Ovis aries: one gene and its partners. The protein of the gene in region 4 purifies or fractionates together with the protein of the main gene of each other region. This does not show direct contact. Links are inferred from orthologs where the notes say so. Each region holds a gene or a part of one and is shown on either strand. Other genes may lie near its edges.

Region 1 (4,183 bases), on a different chromosome or scaffold from region 4:
AAACCCAGACAAAGGGTAAAAGAAAAATCAGGCAGATAGAAACAAAAACAAAGGAACATACATACACACACACCCATATATACACAAAAGAAATCAAAACAGACCAAGGAAAACAAAACCCAAGAGAGTCCAATAAAGTCAGGTCAGTTCTTTTGACCTGATGAACAAAAGAAACAAAAATTAAATCAATCAGTTAAAAACAAAACTAACTAAAACAGAAAACAAAACCAAAGCAGAGTGCCAACTGAACAATAAAGCAAAGAAAACAAAACAAACAAAAATGGTGGGGGTAAAAGAGACAAAAGAGAAATGCAAAGTTAAACAGAAGTATGTAAAAAAGATCCACATATATTAAAGAAAAACAACAACAACAAAAAGAACCCCCAGAAAACAACAACAACAAAAAACAAGCCAAAAAAGCACAGAACAGCAGAAAGCTAAACAGAAATAGACTGTATAAAAGAAAAAGTAAGATTTAAAAGAATCTCAAAAACCTAAATAGAAATAATAATAGTAATAAAAATAAAAACTACAACAGAGAAAAAAGAGAGAGAGAGAAAAAAAAAGGAAAAAAAACCAGAACCCACAACAGAAGGAATCAAAACATAAGAATAATAATAAATATTTTCTCAGGGATCAGCTGTCAGCATCCTTTCCCTTCACTGTGAGCCACAGCCCATCTCCACTTCCCTAGGAGGCCCTCCAGTGCTGGGGAAAGCAGGTCGACCTGCTGTGAGGACAGACTCTGATCTGGCCCTGCTACTGGGTATGCTTGTCTCCAGTGTCTGCAGCTGCCAGAGCTAGAGGGTTTTCTTTTCAGGGAACATTCTTTGTCTTCATATATTCCACAGACACAGGGTTTACCTAGTTGATTGTATGGATTTAATCTGCAGCTTGTGCAGCTGATGAAAAGGGTTTTAATCTTTTTCCTTAGGCACTCTGCCCCTGGAGCTCAATTGTGGTTTTATCCCCACATCTACCTGAGGGCCATCCATAAGAGTCTACTCCTAAGGCTGCCCTGGAGGACTCGGGTCCCCCCGAGTGATGACCAGGAGTGGAGATGGCATGGCTGCTTGGATCGGGGAGACTCCCAGAGCACCAGGCGCCATGGGCTCAAGGGATACGACTCTAATAGTCTTTTCTAGCTTCTGGCAGCTGGTGTTTGAAGGGCTGCCCTCTCTGGGATCCTTCTCTACTGCTCAGGGGCCAGTGCTGGTAACGTGGGGAGAGAGAGGCTACATAGACGGCTCCACCCCCTGCATGTAACTTACCAGTAGCGCCCTGCTTCCGGAGCCGCCCTGTTTCCCTTCAAAGGCTGTTTCCCTTAAATCCTGCTGCAGATTTCCTCCTTTCCTTCAGGTCATCTCCTCGGAATCAGTAGCAGTCCTCGCCCTGGGTTTGCTCTCCAGTCTACATGCTCCAGCTCCCAGCTGCCATGCGCCATCGGTGGACGTGCATCCTGGGACAGGTTATGTAGGGCCGCGGCTCGGATTGTCTGTGTGGTTTTCACTCTATTCGGACTGTCATGGATCAGCTGCTTCACCCTCCGACAGCCCCAAATGCTTCCCTTTCTGTCCCAACTGATTCCTCCGGATGTGGGAATCTCTCCCCTGCTTCAGCTCCCCCAGCGCTTTCTCTCCTCTTCCTTCTCCTCTCTTTCTTTTGTCCTACCCAGATATGCGAGTATCCATAAAATCCTTTCCAGTGGTCAGGGACTCCTGCTAGTGTTCAGGCCGTGTTCTGTGAGAACTGTTGCATCTATAGATGTATTCTTGATACATCCATGGAGAGAGATGTACTCCATGTCCACCCACTCCTCCACCTTCTTGAGTCCCTTCTGTTTCTTCCTTTTTTACTGCTGACTACTGTTTCATTTTATAGATACACTCCCATGGTTTATCCATTTGCCTTTTGGTGAGTATTTAAGTTATTCCTAGCTTTGGATTATTATTAGAGGAGCTGCTATAAAAATTAATCTGCAAGTCTTTGTATATATATTATATATTATTTCTCTTGAGTAAGTGCTTAGGAGGGCTTTTGTTTTATTATATGCTAAGTGCAGCCATGAAATTAAAAGACGCTTACTCCTTGGAAGGAAAGTTATGACCAACCTAGACAGCATATTCAAAAGCACAGACATTACTTTGCCAACAAAGGTCTGTCTAGTCAAGGCTATGGTTTTTCCAGTGGTCAAGTATGGATGTGAGAGAGTTGGACTGTGAAGAAAGCGAAGCACCAAAGAATTGATGCTTTTGAACTGTGGTGTTGGAGAAGACTCTTGAGAGTCCCTTGGACTGCAAGAAGATCCAACCAGTCCATTCTAAAGGAGATCAGTCCTGGGTGTTCTTTGGAAGGAATGATGCTAAAGCTGAAACTCCAGTACTTTGGCCACCTCATGTGAAGAGTTGACTCATTGGAAAAGAGTCTGATGCTAGAAGGGATTGAGGGCAGGAGGAGAAGGGGACAAGAGAGGATGAGATGGCTGGATGGCATCACCAACTCAATGGACATGAGTTTGAGTGAACTCCGGGAGTTGGTGATGGACAGGGAGGCCTGGCGGGCTGCAGTTCTTAGGGTCGCAAAGAATCAGACATGACTGAGCAACTGAACTGAACTGAACTGAAGTGTACTTTATAACAAATAGCCAAACTATTTTCCAAGTTTTATTGTGCTACATTTCTGCCAGTAATGTATGTTGTAGTTATTTCACATTCTCACTGATTCTTCGTATTGTCAACTGTTTGGATTTTAGCCATTCCTGTAGGCTTTTAATTTTCATTTCCCTGATAACTAATGATATTGAATAGTTTCTCATGCACTTATTGGCCGTTGCTTATCTTATTTTGTGAGGTAGCTGGGCAAAGTTTTTGCCCATTTAAAAAGTGAGTCATTAGTTTTATTATTCAGAGTAAGAATTCTTCATATATTCAGGCTTTATGTCCTTTGATGATATATATTGAAGCCCTAATCTATGGTTGCCCTTTCATTTCTTTAAATAAAACAAAACAAAACATTTATTTATTTATTTGGCTGCTCCAGGCCTTAGTTGTGGCACCCAGGATCTTTAGTTGTAGCATGCAAACTTTTAGTTTTGGTGTTTGGGGTCTTGTTGCCCGATCAGGGATCCAGATCCACACTCCTCAGTGGAAGTACAGAGTCTTAACCACTGGGCTGCCGGGGAAGTCCTATTTTTATTTTTTTTTAATGCGGATATTTTGAAGGAAAGATTAAAATTTTTGATTTGTAAATGTTTTCTGCTATGAGTTGTGCTTGTTTGTGCTCTAAGAAATCTCTGCCTACCCCAAAGTTTCAAAGATTTTTCTACTCTGTTTTCTTCTAAGAATGTTATAGTATACAGCAATGAAAATCAATGAACTGTACTGACATACTACACAGTAAATCTCAATGAACATAATATTGAGCATAAAAAGAAAGGCACAGATGAATATGGTTTGTTTTCATCCATATAGAGTGCAAAAATAGTAAAAACTAAGCTGTATTGTTTAGAGATGCATAGGTAAATGGTAAAACTTATAAAGTCAAGAAAATTCTTATCTCCAAATTTGAGATAGTGGTTATCTCTTAGGGGAGAACGTGGGTTATGATAAAGGATGGGCACACAGAGGCCTCTGAAATGATCCTATTTTGTGCCTTTGGGTGGCAGTTACATGGATGTTTGATTTACCATTCTTTATTAATATATGTATTTATGTTTAGTGCACATTTTTGAATTTGTTTGCATTTCACAATCTTCAAACATTCAAGGAGCCTTAACTAGATTATTATTCTTAACTCTGGGATTAAAAAAAAAGAAAAGAAAACCTTAATAGAAGGGTTGGAAAATAGAAAAAGTATCCCCCAAAATAGAGATGAAAGACAAATAAAAAAGGAGAAAATAGGACAAAAAGTACAGAGCAAGTTCAGGAGGGGCAATGTAAAAAAGAAGGAAAGAATGAAAGGAAGGAAGGAAAGTAAAAGAAACAGAGAAAAATGGATAGGAGAGATCACCAGCTAAATACTTAAAGTCTCCTAGAACTTAAGGATATATTTCCAGATTGAAGACTCTTGAGTGTGAAGCACAGTGAAGTCAAATAGTGGAGGTACAGCATGTACTGTGAAATTTCAGAATACCTAAGAATAATGAAAAGATGCTACATACTTTTTATACTAGTCATAGTCCTCC
Region 2 (4,115 bases), on a different chromosome or scaffold from region 4:
GAGTTTAAAAAAAAATGCCTCTCACACACATAAATTCAAAAGGTATGCTACTCCTGAAACTCTTGTCCTGCAACAGAGTTATGGGCCTTAAGGCCATTCTCAAATCCTATTCCGTTGTTCCGGACATGCAGTATCTGTTGGTTCTGTTGTCACTGCAAATTCTGAAGACAACCTCAGAAACAGGCCACAAAAAATAACAGTTGCAAATTTCATATAGAGTTGGGGGGCACAGGTGGAAAAAGGACCCTATAGAAGAGACTTAGTTCCAAATCACTGATTCTTTCCCTGCTCTGGTTTGCTGGGTCCTGGGGACAAGAACATGCCCAGCCAGCAGGCCCAAACTAGTAGCCTTTACCATCTGATGCACACGTGTGTGCTAAGTTGCTTCAGTCATGTCCGACTCTTTGTAACCCTATGGTCTGTGGCCCACCAGGTTCCTTTGTCCATGATATTCTCCAGGCAAGAATACTGGAGTGGTTAGTTCATCAAATCTAACCATGGCTCAACTGACATCTGAAATGCATTTACCTCTGATATAATTCACAGGAGTACACTGATTTAGGGGATTAATTTTAGGAGAGAAAAAATAGTTTTCAGTAATCCTGAACTAGTTATCTTTGACAAGACAAGAGATTATGATTTTACAAAGAGCAAATCCCTAAAATGTATGCAAGAGTCACTTCTGGCCCAGGGTATTTAGAGAAATTAAATGCACCCATCATTTGGCTGAATTTAGGCTGACAAGTGGACTAAGGAGTAAGACAGAGCCAACCCCTACCTACCCTGTTGAGAATATTCCTCCTCGTGAAGTTTTAAAGAACTCCCAGAAGCCTGTTGGAGAGCCCAAGGGCAGGGCTAGAAGTGGGGATTTCTTTTATATGTTGCACAGATTGTGAATTCCACCCACCATAGCACAGGCCGTACCAGCATCAAAATAAGGAGAACAAACTGGCATCAGTTTAAGCATAAAAACCAAGCCAGGCTCTACATACCTAATTTTCTTACAGTTCTTATTCAAACAATTACTTTGGGTTCAATTCGTTCTCCCTATAATCTTAAAAGTCTTTGGTTCCCATGTGGCTCCTTGATAAAGAATCCACCTGCTAATGCAGAATGCAGGAGACCCTGATTGGATCCTTGGGTGGGGAATATTCCCTGGAGGAGGAAATGGCAACCCACTCCAGTATTCTTGCCTAGGAAATCCCAAGGACAGAGGAACCTAGTGGGCTATAGTCCATGGGGCTGCAAAGAGGTTGACAGGAGTGAGCACCAACCACCGCCATATTCTTAAATCTGGTCTTGAAAGTGGGTTTGTGTGGACTTGCAAGGACCACCCAATGTTTTTAGGTAGCCTACATTTATTACAGATCTCAGTAAGAACTATAGGCATTGCCAGGCTTTTAGATTTAATTTAGAGAAAGATTGTTTGCTTTACATATTCATCTTCCACAATCACTTCACGAAGATCTGTTTCCAAGTCTCTCAGTCCCCAACAAACCTCAAGACACTGGTTGCCTTGGAAGTTGTGAACTCTTTTGGAGGCAGAGATGCTCCAGGGCAGCAGACCTTTTGCCCCGCATCAGCCTTCTCTGTTGGAGGCGCCAGTCCGGTAGGGCCAGTGGCAGAGCCGGGTAGACATCTCCAAGCTCTCCACATGATGGCTTCCTGTTCTCAAGAATTAAATTCTGCCTAGCAGTTTGTGTGGCTCCAGGAACCCAGTGCGGGCCTAGGGCCCTCCTTTAACGACCAAGTACACGGCGAGTTAACACACTGTTATTACCTCTTGAGCTCGTCCCCAAACACAGTGGAGTTACTTTACACCAGACACTTCATGTTTCCGTTTGCCTCAGTGCAGAATAAAATAAGTGACATGCCCCAACCTGTCACTTCATCCATCCCACAAATACCCCTGCCGTGTGCCTGGTACTGCTGATAAACTGGTGAACAAAATAGATCGAGAGCCTTGCGGACTCTGTTAGCGAAATAAACACTCAATGGCTGAAAGAAGAAGTTTACTCATTTTCTTCCCGCCTTTTTTTTTTTTTTTTTGCCACCGACCCCCATTCTTCTAGTCTCGCCAGGGGCTGGAAATCAAGTTTATCCCATTAGTTTGACAGGAATAACAAAACCCTTTAGCCTACATGGAATAGACACCGTCCAGGTGCAACCCAATTCACCATGGACCTCCACCCTCTCAACGGCCCAAAAACTTCGACCGGTCTGAGAGGTTCTCCTCCCCAAGTGCAGCCCTAGGACGCTCAATCACGAGGCAGAGGAGGGAACCGGCCCTAGATCCCTGCTCCCGCGGTGAGCGGGGCGCGCGCGCGCGGCACTCACCGAGGAGCCGGCCCAGAACGGGCACGAGTTCTTCACCTGCGGGGAGCTGCTCAGCGACAGTGCCCCAAAGCTGAGTGCCACCATGCAGCAGCCCAGGATCAGCTGCAGCAGACCGAGCGACAACAGCAGGCGAGCGGGCAGCAGCGCGGAGCCCGGAGCCCCGGCGGCGGCAGCGGCCCGGCGGGAAGAGAGTGCAGGCGGCGCGGCCAGCACCCCGGCGGCGGTAGCCCCGCAGCGAGGCCGCGCCGGGGGCTGCAGCGCAGCCCGGGGCCAGCGCGGCCGTAGTGGGGGCAGCGGCGGCTCCTGGGCGGCGGCGGCCGCGGCGCCCGGGCCCCCGGCCTGCGGCCCGCCGGAGAGCCCGGCCACCGGGCAGCAGGAGCCCGGGAGCACCACAGGCAGGGACATGGACAAACGGGGAAGGAGCGGCCGGTGGCAGCGGGGAGCGGGCGCGGAGCTGAGCCGCCGGCGCCAGGCTCTGAGCACGCGGGCGGGCTCGGACGCGGAGGGGGCGGGAAGAAAATGCGCACGGCCCAACCACTTGCTGCCGCAGCCGCCGCCCCGGCTCCCGCCGGCCGCACCCACCTGCCAGCCGGCGGGTCGGCCTCCGGCCTCCCGGGCGCGCCCCACTCCCACACCCCGCCCCCGACACCACGCACGCCCTGAGGTCCCGCCGCGCAGCGCCTGCACCCTTTGGGGCCCCGCCAAACCGGCGCTCTCTCCCGGGGCTCCAGAAGAGGTGCCCCAGTTTTAAAACAGGTTCCCTCGGGCTAGGAGGGAACTGCGGACTGGGCGCGGAGGTACCGACAGCCGCCAAGCTGGGGCGCAACAGGAGCGCCGCAGGCGCGCTGGGGCCCCTCGCCCCTTTCCGGTCCAGCCGCGAGCGCGACTCTGGCGACCTTTCATACGAAGGGAGCCCGGCTTTAAACTTTTCCCCGGCCTAGGGGAAGGATGACAGGAAGAGAGCTGTGGGTGACTTGGGAAAAGTCTAAGCCTCAGGGTTTCGGGAAAGGACGACGCAGAGCAAAGTCACCGTTCGCGTGGGGCTTCCCGGCGCTGACTGCTCTGCAGCCCCTCCGCCTGGGAAGTTGGGAGGTGGGGAATGAGGGGTATGGGTGCTTTCCTGGCACCAGCGTAGGAGTGGGCAGGAGGCCAAAGTTTCCTTGGAAGTATCCGGCATCCAGAAAGAGAACCAACGGCCTGGAGCGCTGGCAAGGGTTACATACACTCTGTGGCCGTCTCACGCTGACTCCTGAGCTGTGTTAGGCATCATCTGGTAGAACACAGAATCCCAGACTTTCAGAGAAACGGCCTCATAAAATTCTAATCTGTTTTTGGTAATTTATAAAATATATTTAGAACTTAAAAAGAAATGATTTGCCTTTGTAAAATTTCATTTCCTAATGGTAGGAATTCTTATGTATTGAAAGTGTTCTTATACATAAAATGATTATGATAGAATTTTTTCAGGTTAAGAACCAGAGCACTGTCACTCTGCAGAAAGTCAGTCTCAGTATTAGGTGAGTAATAAGTAAGGGGAGGGTATTTTATATCCTCCTGCCCACTAAACCAAAGGAAACATGTATCTGTTTTTATGCTCTGCTTACAAAGGCTGTATTTATTTCGTTCATTACTTACTGTAACTCACAATGTAATGCACTGCCAATGTGCATGTGGGTCTACATGTACACTTTTTGAATTATTAAAGCACCTGTGATTCATAGTCTCAAGGACTTCTTTTACAAACTCCTCTTGGAAATAAACGTCAAATCCCGGAAAAA
Region 3 (4,291 bases), on a different chromosome or scaffold from region 4:
TGGAGATGCCAGCTCCAGTGAAGGCGAGATGCGGGTCATGGATGAGGACATCATGGTAGAATCAGGTGAGAAATTTGGGGCTGCCCAGGGGCAACTGGGTTGATGGGTCTTGGGGTAGTGTGGCTCCAAGAACTCAGAACACCAAACATACCTTCTTTTTTCCAGGTGATGATTCATGGGATCTGATCACGTGTTACTGCCGGAAGCCCTTTGCAGGCCGGCCCATGATTGAGTGCAGCCTGTGTGGGACGTGGATCCACCTCTCTTGTGCTAAGATTAAGAAGACCAATGTCCCTGACTTCTTTTACTGCCAGAAATGCAAGGAACTGCGGCCAGAGGCCCGGCGATTAGGGGGGCCTCCGAAATCTGGAGAACCTTGACACATGCCATCTCCAGGCTGGAACTTCAAATGGAAACGTGACTTCGGAACTGAGCCTCAGGGTCAACATGTTCCCTGAAGCTGGGATGTTGTCCCACTTCGAGGCAGAAATTCCCAGGGGAGACTGGTTTGGAAATGAGTGGTTTTCCTACCCTACCTTTCCTTCCCACCTTGTGGACTTGAACTTGGACCCATTGCAGTTGCGGGTGGGAGGCTCTCTGGGTCCCTAGACACTTAAACTGTCCGTGCCACTGCTCAGTTTCTGGGCCAGGGTTAGAACTGGGATGGAGTGGGACAGTTGTCTATAAAACTCTAGTGTAAATATAGCACTCCCCTCCCTCATCTTCTATCTCACTCCCCATTTATTCTACACCGGTTGTATTTTTAATTTAGGACTTCCCCTTTTGAGCGTGGCAGCTCAGAGGTGGAGTGCCAACCAGAGCTTGGCCAAGGGAGGAAGGAAAACAGAAAGGTGACGATTCCTCACCTCTTTTGTTTTTAATAATTCTGGCCAGCTGTTTGTACAGACAGCCTGCGTGTTGTAAATAAAGCAGAGTGGGCTCTTCTGTGTTTATAGCCCTCACTGACTGTCGTGCTGGGGAGGGAGGCTTTGGAAAAGCTGGCTGGAGGTGGGGCTGAAACCCACCTCTACTGAAAATGATCTAACTGCGCCTTTCCCACCAATCCTATGACCTCAATTCAATTGGCTTTGCCCCGCCTCATCCCCAGTCAAGGACCATCCCCCTCCCCCAATTCCCACCTACACCTCCCACACGCGCGCTCCAACGCATGAAAGTTGCGTGGAGCTCCCTGCCGGAGCAGATAAAGCGTGCAGGCATTGCTTGCTTGCCCCCTGAGGGCAAAGCCCAGCCTGGTCAGGGTAGTCGGAGGACGCGGGTGCGGACACACAAGGAGGAGGAGCCGCAGAAGGTTGGGAGACCGTTGCTGAAAGCAGCAATCATGTGGCGGGGGTACTAGGCGGAGCCGAGAGGTCACGTGACCACGAGATGATCACGTGGTGGAGGCGTTTCGAAAAGGGGGTGGAGTCGGTTCTGATCACGTGACGTGGGGAGAGGTGGGCGGGGCGCTTGGAGGGCACTCGCGAAAGCGGTGGCGGCGGCGGCGGCGGAGCCCGCGGCTTTGGGAAGCGCTCCACGGCTCGACCCCCTTTTTCGCCGCCGCCACCCTGCTGACCCCCGCCTTCCTCCCTTTCACACCTCTCTGGCGCTGTGTCGGTCCTGGTGCTCGTGCGTCGGTTCGCGGGACTGCGCAGGCGCGGCGGGGGCGAACAGCCCCTTTGGGTGGGCGGCGGAGCCCGGGAGCGCGCGGGCGAGACCATGGCGGGCAGCGGCGCGGGGGGCGGTGGTGTTGGGGAGACGAAGGTGATTTACCACCTGGATGAAGAAGAGACTCCCTACCTGGTGAAGATCCCCGTCCCCGCCGAGCGCATCACCCTCGGCGATTTCAAGAGCGTCCTGCAGCGGCCCGCGGGCGCCAAGTACTTTTTCAAGTCTATGGATCAGGATTTCGGGTGAGCGCGAGGCCTAGAACAGGATGGATGGGGGCTGTGCTTTTGTGGAGTGGGTGATATTCAGGGGCATCGGGCTACCTTGGGACATGCTGTGATTTTCTGGGCACTAGTGGTGCGGATTTTACTGTGCTGGTGTAGATTGATTATCCCAGGACGGACAACGTTACGCTTGGATAGATTGAGGCGCACGGAGCTGTAGGAGGACAGACTGGGCACTGCTAAACCAGATTAGAGAAGATTAGGCTATACTGGAGTAGTACACTGATTTATTTTCGGGTGTTCTGGACAGCGATGAGGTAGGTTGATGTATCCTCTGGTAACTACATTGTGAGCAGTCCTGTGCCACACAGGTTGTGGAGGGATATTGGGAAACCTGCTGATGTCAACTGGGCTATACTGGGCCAATTTGGGATGTTCTCTGTGATACTAAGTCAGACAGGATTGTTTGGTGGATATTCTAGTCTGTACTAAGGCAGTGTGCTGTATTGGGCTGCTATTATGGTCTGCACTGGGTTCTGTTGATCTTTGTTTCTTTGGGGGTCTAGTTTTTTTGGGGATACTCAATATAGGGGTACACAGGGCTGACCATGTCTGTGTTAGTACAGACAGCTGTATTGGGATATTCTAGTCTATATTGGTGTAGACAGCTGCTTGAGGGGACATTCTAGCTTATACTAGAATAGTTTTGGGCTATCCTGGATAATTTGGGATAGTCTGGAACCTTAAATAATTCAGGGTAGCCCTTTTTGTGTTTTATACCTTTAGGACTGTACTGTTTGTCCTCAATCGCAGCTCTTGAAGGGAGGCTGCCTTAGGCTGGGATAGCTTGGATTCTAGGAAAGCTGAACAGACTGGACTTTATCTAGAAAGACCTGGAGGTAGGGATGGTGGTACTGTCTTGGGAGTTACCTTGTATTGAAATTCAAGGTTCTTGTGTTTGTCAGCACTGTATAACCTGGGGCATTTAACTTTGTTCATTGATTTCGTCTGTGAAACAGTTAACCAGAGTGAAATGCTTAGTACAAGTGCATGGTATGTATGTTCTTGGTAAATGGTCGTTGTGTTTATTAGCATGGAGTCTACTTCTTGAACTAAATCACTTGGCAGGCTGGACTGTGTTGAGATTGGATTATGCTGTGAAGAATACAAGTGTTAGGCTGAGATAGATTGGTAGTCGCTGGGCTGTGTCATCACGTTAATAATAGATGGGATTGAGTTGACATATATCCAGGGTCCTAGAATCATATTAGTCTAAAGGGTTAATTAGACAGGCGGTCCTAATTTTGGGGGTGAATGTGTGTGAGAGTGTTCAGGGCAGAATGTCTCATGATCAGTATGTTTATCAGTTTAGCCAACAGGTGTTTGTTAGTGCTTAGGCAGCATCAGGTACTTTGCTGTGTGGTCAGGGACTTGGGGTTGAACTTGGTGTTGAACAAAATTAGCACTGATGATTCCGTCTGGTGGTTGCAAAGAAGGAGCAAGTTCGGTCCATTGAAGGAACCCATGGGTGAGATCGCCCTCACGGCTGGGCTTTGGGGTCTGTCAGGAGGAGCAAATTGCTTAATGCAGAGTTTGTGCCAGGTGAAGCACGGAGGAACGGGGATCTGGACTTCACCACTCCTTAGGAGCTCAGTCTACTAAGTACCATTCTTTGATCTAATGGGTGTTGTTACTAGATGACAGTACATTTGAACATCCATCTGAAAGTGAGTTAGAGAAAACTAAGGAAAGCATAAGATTAGAGACGTAGACAAGGAGCACAAAGCCTTTGTGGGGCAATTGTGTGTGGAATGGGGTGGCTGCCTGTGAGGCTTCTAAGGTTAGATATTGGGGGCAGCTAGGGCAGCCTTAGGGGAAGGCCTTTGAAATTGGGCTGAGAGGTTTCAATCAGACTCTTGGAAAGCTCTGGAACAACGCTGAGCCCAAGGATGAACTGGGGAAAGAAGGAGAAATAAGGAAAGGGAATTCAGTTTGGTGATTTCTTGGGTGTAAGAGTGAAGTGTCTCAATGTCAGAGAAGAGGATTTGCCATGGTGGGAGGAAATCAACATCCTTGAGCTGGATGAAGATTGGGAGAAACTTCAAATGCAGGTGGGAGTGGGGAAAGCCGTTCCAGTTTCACTGACCTTTATCTTATCTCTTGGCAGGGTGGTGAAGGAAGAGATTTCAGATGACAATGCTCGCCTTCCCTGTTTCAATGGAAGGGTAGTATCCTGGGTAAGCGGCCTGGCTTTGATGACCAGTCCCTTTGGCACTTCCCAGCTCCTCCAAGCCTCAGCCTGTGCCCATCCATCTCAGCTGCTGGAATCTGTGACTGTTTGCTTCCTTACCTGTTTGTTTCTTTGTGTTTGGCCATGCACCATGTGGCTTTCCCAACTGGGG
Region 4 (4,079 bases):
ACAGACTGGTTCCAAATTGGAAAAGGAGTACATCAAGGCTGTATACTGTCACCCTGCTTATTTAATTTCTATGCAGAGTATATCATGATAAATGCTGGGCTGGAAGAAGCACAAGCTGGAATCAAGATTGCCAGAAGAAATATCAATAACCTCAGATATGCAGATGACACCACACTTATGGCAGAAAGTGAAGAGGAACTAAAAAGCCTCTTGGTGAAAGTGAAAGAAGAGAGTGAAAAAGTTGGCCTAAAGCTCAACATTCAGAAAACGAAGATCATGGCATCCAGTCCCATCACTTCATGGGAAATAGATGGGAAACAGTGGAAACAGTGTCAGACTTTATTTTTTTGGGCTCCAAAATCACTGCAGATGGTGATTGCAGCCATGAAATTAAAAGACGCTTTCTCCTTGGAAGGAAAGTTGTGACCAATCTAGATAGCATATTCAAAAGCAGAGACATTACTTCGCCAACAAAGGTCTGTCTAGTCAAGGCTATGGTTTTTCCAGTGGTCATGTATGGATGTGAGAGTTGGACTGTGAAGAAAGCTGAGCACCGAAGAAGTGATGCTTTTGAACTGTGGTGTTGGAGAAGACTCTTGAGAGTCCCTTGGACTGCAAGAGGATCCAACCAGTCCATTCTAAAGGAGATCAGTCCTGGGTGTTCATTGGAAGGACTGATGCTGAAGCTGAAACTCCAATACTTTGGCCACCTCATGCGAAGGGGAGGGAGGGGGGAGGGGGGAGGGGGGTTCAGGATGGGGAACACGTGTACGCCCGTGGCGGATTCATGTTGATGTGTGGCAGAACCAATACAATATTGTAAAGTAATTAGCCTCCAATTAAAGTAAATAAATTTAAATTAAAAAAAAATTAAGAAAAAAAGACTGATGCTGGGAGGGATTGAGGACAGGAGGAGAAGGGGACGACAGAGGAGGAGATGACTGGATGACATCACCGACTCGATGGACATGAGTTTGAGTGAACTCCGGGGGTTGGTGATGGACAGCGAGGCCTGGCGTGCTGCAATTCCTGAGGTCGCAAGGAGTCGGACACGACTGAGCAACTGTACTGACCGGGAGTAATCCAAGAGTCCCTCCCACCTAGCTAAATACAAGCTCGGATTTAGCTGCGCTCACCAGCCTCCGCTAGGTCTTCCTGCCCGCAGCTGGTTAGTGCGCAAGGACTTCTAGGGCTTGTAGTCCTGATAGCTCCGGAGCTGGAGGCGCCTGCGCGTTGGCCGCCAACTCGTTCTAGTAGCTGTGGTCCGGAATCGGGACCGGCTGCCATCTTAGTCGAGGGACTGAAGAGTAGCCGCCGCCCCGTGTCCCGGTAAAAACCCGCGGGCGGACTGGAGGCAATTTTGGGGAGAGGGAGGGTCCTGGATGAATACGTCGGAGGAGGGCGAGAGGTAGAGGAGTGCGGCGCGTCAGCCGGGACCCGAGCCGCGGCTGCTTCCTCTTCCCTCAGAGCCGGTGCCCGTGGTGGGCGCGGGGAGCTCGGGCTAGTGGCAGGGGCCGGGCGGAGGGGTGGCGGGGATGGGTCATCTGGAAGCCCCGAGCGGCCCCTGTTGGGCTCAGACGGTCGGAGCCCCTCTCCTCGCGGGCGCCAAGTTCTGAGAGAACTGGGCCCCAGCGGGCGCCCCCGGGGTCCAGCCCAGAGCCCGTCAGCCCCGCCCGGGGGCTCTGCTCCTGCGGCCCGGCCTACGCGAGGGGCCCCGCGGCAGCGGCCGGGGCGGGCGACGTGGCCCTGCGAGGGGCGGCGGCCGGGCCCACCTGCCACCCGCTGCCCTTCCCGAGACTTTTTGGAGCTCGCACCAGCGAGAGGGGCCAAGTACAGCGGCTGCCTCTCTTCTCTCTTCCATTCCCCTCCGTCTATTGTCCCCCAGCGTGGTGGTCCCGGCCCCGGCGTCGTCGTCGGCGCCCGCCGCCGCCGCAGCGGCCCCGCCGGCGCCGAGTTTTGCAGACGTGGAGCTGTCACTGCCCTTCCTCCTGAAAGTGCCCTTTTCTTTAGCGGAGAGAAGGAAAAAGTAGTCGTGATGAGGACAGGACTTGGTGGGGACTAAGTGGGGAACTCAAGTTCTTAGACTTTGCTCCGGGCCGCGACGTAGAGCGAAACACAGGATCTCTGCGCCCCAGGTAGACGCTGGGCCTCAAGTTAGCGATGTAACCTGGTGGATTTGCAAACTACCCGAAATCCACGATTCCCCAGTAACAACTCACCTTGTTTTCTTGCTAATGTTTGTATCTTGTTAGATTTTCCGCTGTTATTCAGCTTCAGTGTAGTTTTTGGGAGTGAGGGGTGGGGAAGGAAGAGACATTTCAGGGAATTTTTCTCTGAAAATTAACGAGGCACTTGAGCCATCCATCTATCACTGTACTTAGTTTGAGTCTTGCATGTATTCCTAATATAATTAGATCGTAGGGAAGTACTAGAGGCAGTGTATTTCCACCCTCAAAATGGGCTAGAGAGTTGTTTCTCTGCCGAAATAAAGTTCTCAGAGCAGGTCTGGTGAGAGTCTTAATCATGTATTCATAGGTTTACTCAGGTTACAGTTACTTCATTTTTAAGATTTAGAAATGAAGGTGGAAATTCACCTGCTGTTTTCAACAGTGGATATAAGTTTTTTGGGTGTGAGTCCGAAAGGAATTCCTTCATCTTCAGCATATGAGTCAAGTCAACAAGGATATGAAATAAACAAGTGCAGGATAATTCCTCAGTGTATTCTAGAGTAAATCATTTTTCCATTCCTTAAAGAAACGTCTTTACACCAACTGGAAGAGACAAACCAGTAGCCCCCAAATTTGGTCATTAAAATAATCAGGGCAGCTTTTTTAAAAGTAGAAATTTCAGAGCCTTATTTCCCGAGATTGATTTAATAGGTTTGGGTCGGCCTTGAGGATTAAAACTTGCCTCAGGCAATTTTGATGGTTTTGGAAACCTTTGAGACAATACTTTGAATAAACCAAAAGCTTTGAGATGGAAGAGGAGGTAATCAGTTGTGTCTGATTTGAGGAGGAAGAATCTGCTTCAAGCTGAAGTTGGGTCTTAGCTGAAGTGTTATTGTAATGGAGAAAGGGAAGGACAGGGCAGAGGAAACACCTCAGTACTGTTAGTAAACACAGGATTGTGGAAGATAAAAGGGAGCAGGGAGTGGGATGGGGAAGGAGAGCATTATGGATGTGAGGCAAGAAAAAAACTTGTTTTATGTTGTTAGCAATAGATACAGATTTTTTATTATTTATTTATTTATTTATTTTTAGATACAGATTTTTTAACAGGAAAATGATATTGAGTACATGTTTGCTTTGGGAAGATTGCTTTGTGGCATGAGTGAAAGGACGGAAGAATGGCTGTTGCAGTGGTTTAGGTGAGAAGTGAAAGGCTTGTCCTCATTGAGAGGCCGTGGGCATGATCAAGGGATTAAATTTAGTTCTTTACTAGTGCAATATTGTCCTATTTTTGTATGAGGATTTCTTTAGGGCCATTCTGGGTAAAAGGTTCCTTTTCTGTCAAAAGAACCCATTAGCAAATCAGAATAGTATTGCACAGTTATATATGTTAATGGTATCAGAATTTATTGTTAGCATCCTTGATCAGGTACAATTTGTAGAATTTAGAGATTAGACTGAAATTTATGGCTATCAATGCTATTGGTTTATGAGCTTTTTGGGAAGTGTTTTTTCTCCCACCCTCAGAAACTTGGTTTTAGAATTTTAGAGTTGGGGGACTCCCCTGGTGGTCCAGTGGCCAAGACTCTATGCTCCTAATGCAAGGGTTGTGTGTTCGATCCCAGTTCTGAGAACTGGATTCCACATACTGCAACTAAAGATTCTACATACCACATCTGAGACCCAGCATAGCCAAATAAATAAATAATACATATTAAAGAGTTGGAAGAGATTGTAGAGATTATCTAGTCCACAGTAGCAGATACATTTTGATTTATGGGCCAACTTTCACTTGAAGTAGCTGCCAGAAGCCCTGTGTTGAGAAGGATTTTAATCATAAGGGTTCTCTGGGAAAGTGAGTTATGATTGATTAGTGATGACTCCTGTGGACACTAGTTATCTAGTGGTTGG

What was found. The genes of interacting proteins can lie anywhere in the genome.
Region 1: the proteins of ITCH (region 4) and CFLAR purify together in Homo sapiens (affinity purification with western blotting; 8 studies listed by BioGRID). This does not show direct contact. The link is inferred for Ovis aries from reciprocal best matches to the Homo sapiens genes ITCH and CFLAR.
Region 2: the proteins of ITCH (region 4) and ENTREP1 purify together in Homo sapiens (co-immunoprecipitation; 3 studies listed by BioGRID and IntAct, counting the BioPlex papers as one, with this or other methods). This does not show direct contact. The link is inferred for Ovis aries from reciprocal best matches to the Homo sapiens genes ITCH and ENTREP1.
Region 3: the proteins of ITCH (region 4) and DVL2 purify together in Homo sapiens (affinity purification with western blotting; 4 studies listed by BioGRID and IntAct, with this or other methods). This does not show direct contact. The link is inferred for Ovis aries from reciprocal best matches to the Homo sapiens genes ITCH and DVL2.

What each region holds. Positions count from the first base shown.
Region 1 is NC_056055.1:203,444,245-203,448,427, forward strand, and holds the start of CFLAR (CASP8 and FADD-like apoptosis regulator), read left to right. Parts: upstream 1-1,357; 5' UTR 1,358-1,468; intron 1,469-4,183. UniProt on the Homo sapiens protein: Apoptosis regulator protein which may function as a crucial link between cell survival and cell death pathways in mammalian cells. Acts as an inhibitor of TNFRSF6 mediated apoptosis.
Region 2 is NC_056055.1:67,369,118-67,373,232, forward strand, and holds the start of ENTREP1 (endosomal transmembrane epsin interactor 1), read right to left. Parts: upstream 2,827-4,115; 5' UTR 2,743-2,826; coding exon 2,338-2,742; intron 1-2,337. UniProt on the Homo sapiens protein: Functions as an activator of the E3 ubiquitin protein ligase ITCH in the ubiquitination of the CXCL12-activated CXCR4 receptor. Thereby, triggers CXCR4 endocytosis and desensitization, negatively regulating the CXCL12/CXCR4 signaling pathway.
Region 3 is NC_056064.1:26,835,729-26,840,019, reverse strand, and holds the start of DVL2 (segment polarity protein dishevelled homolog DVL-2), read left to right. Parts: upstream 1-1,465; 5' UTR 1,466-1,716; coding exon 1,717-1,910; intron 1,911-4,056; coding exon 4,057-4,126; intron 4,127-4,291. Other genes in the region: PHF23 (PHD finger protein 23), read left to right, coding at 1-65, 166-380.
Region 4 is NC_056066.1:63,780,844-63,784,922, forward strand, and holds the start of ITCH (E3 ubiquitin-protein ligase Itchy homolog), read left to right. Parts: upstream 1-1,252; 5' UTR 1,253-1,481; exon of another isoform or gene 1,482-4,079. UniProt on the Homo sapiens protein: Acts as an Acts as an E3 ubiquitin-protein ligase which accepts ubiquitin from an E2 ubiquitin-conjugating enzyme in the form of a thioester and then directly transfers the ubiquitin to targeted substrates.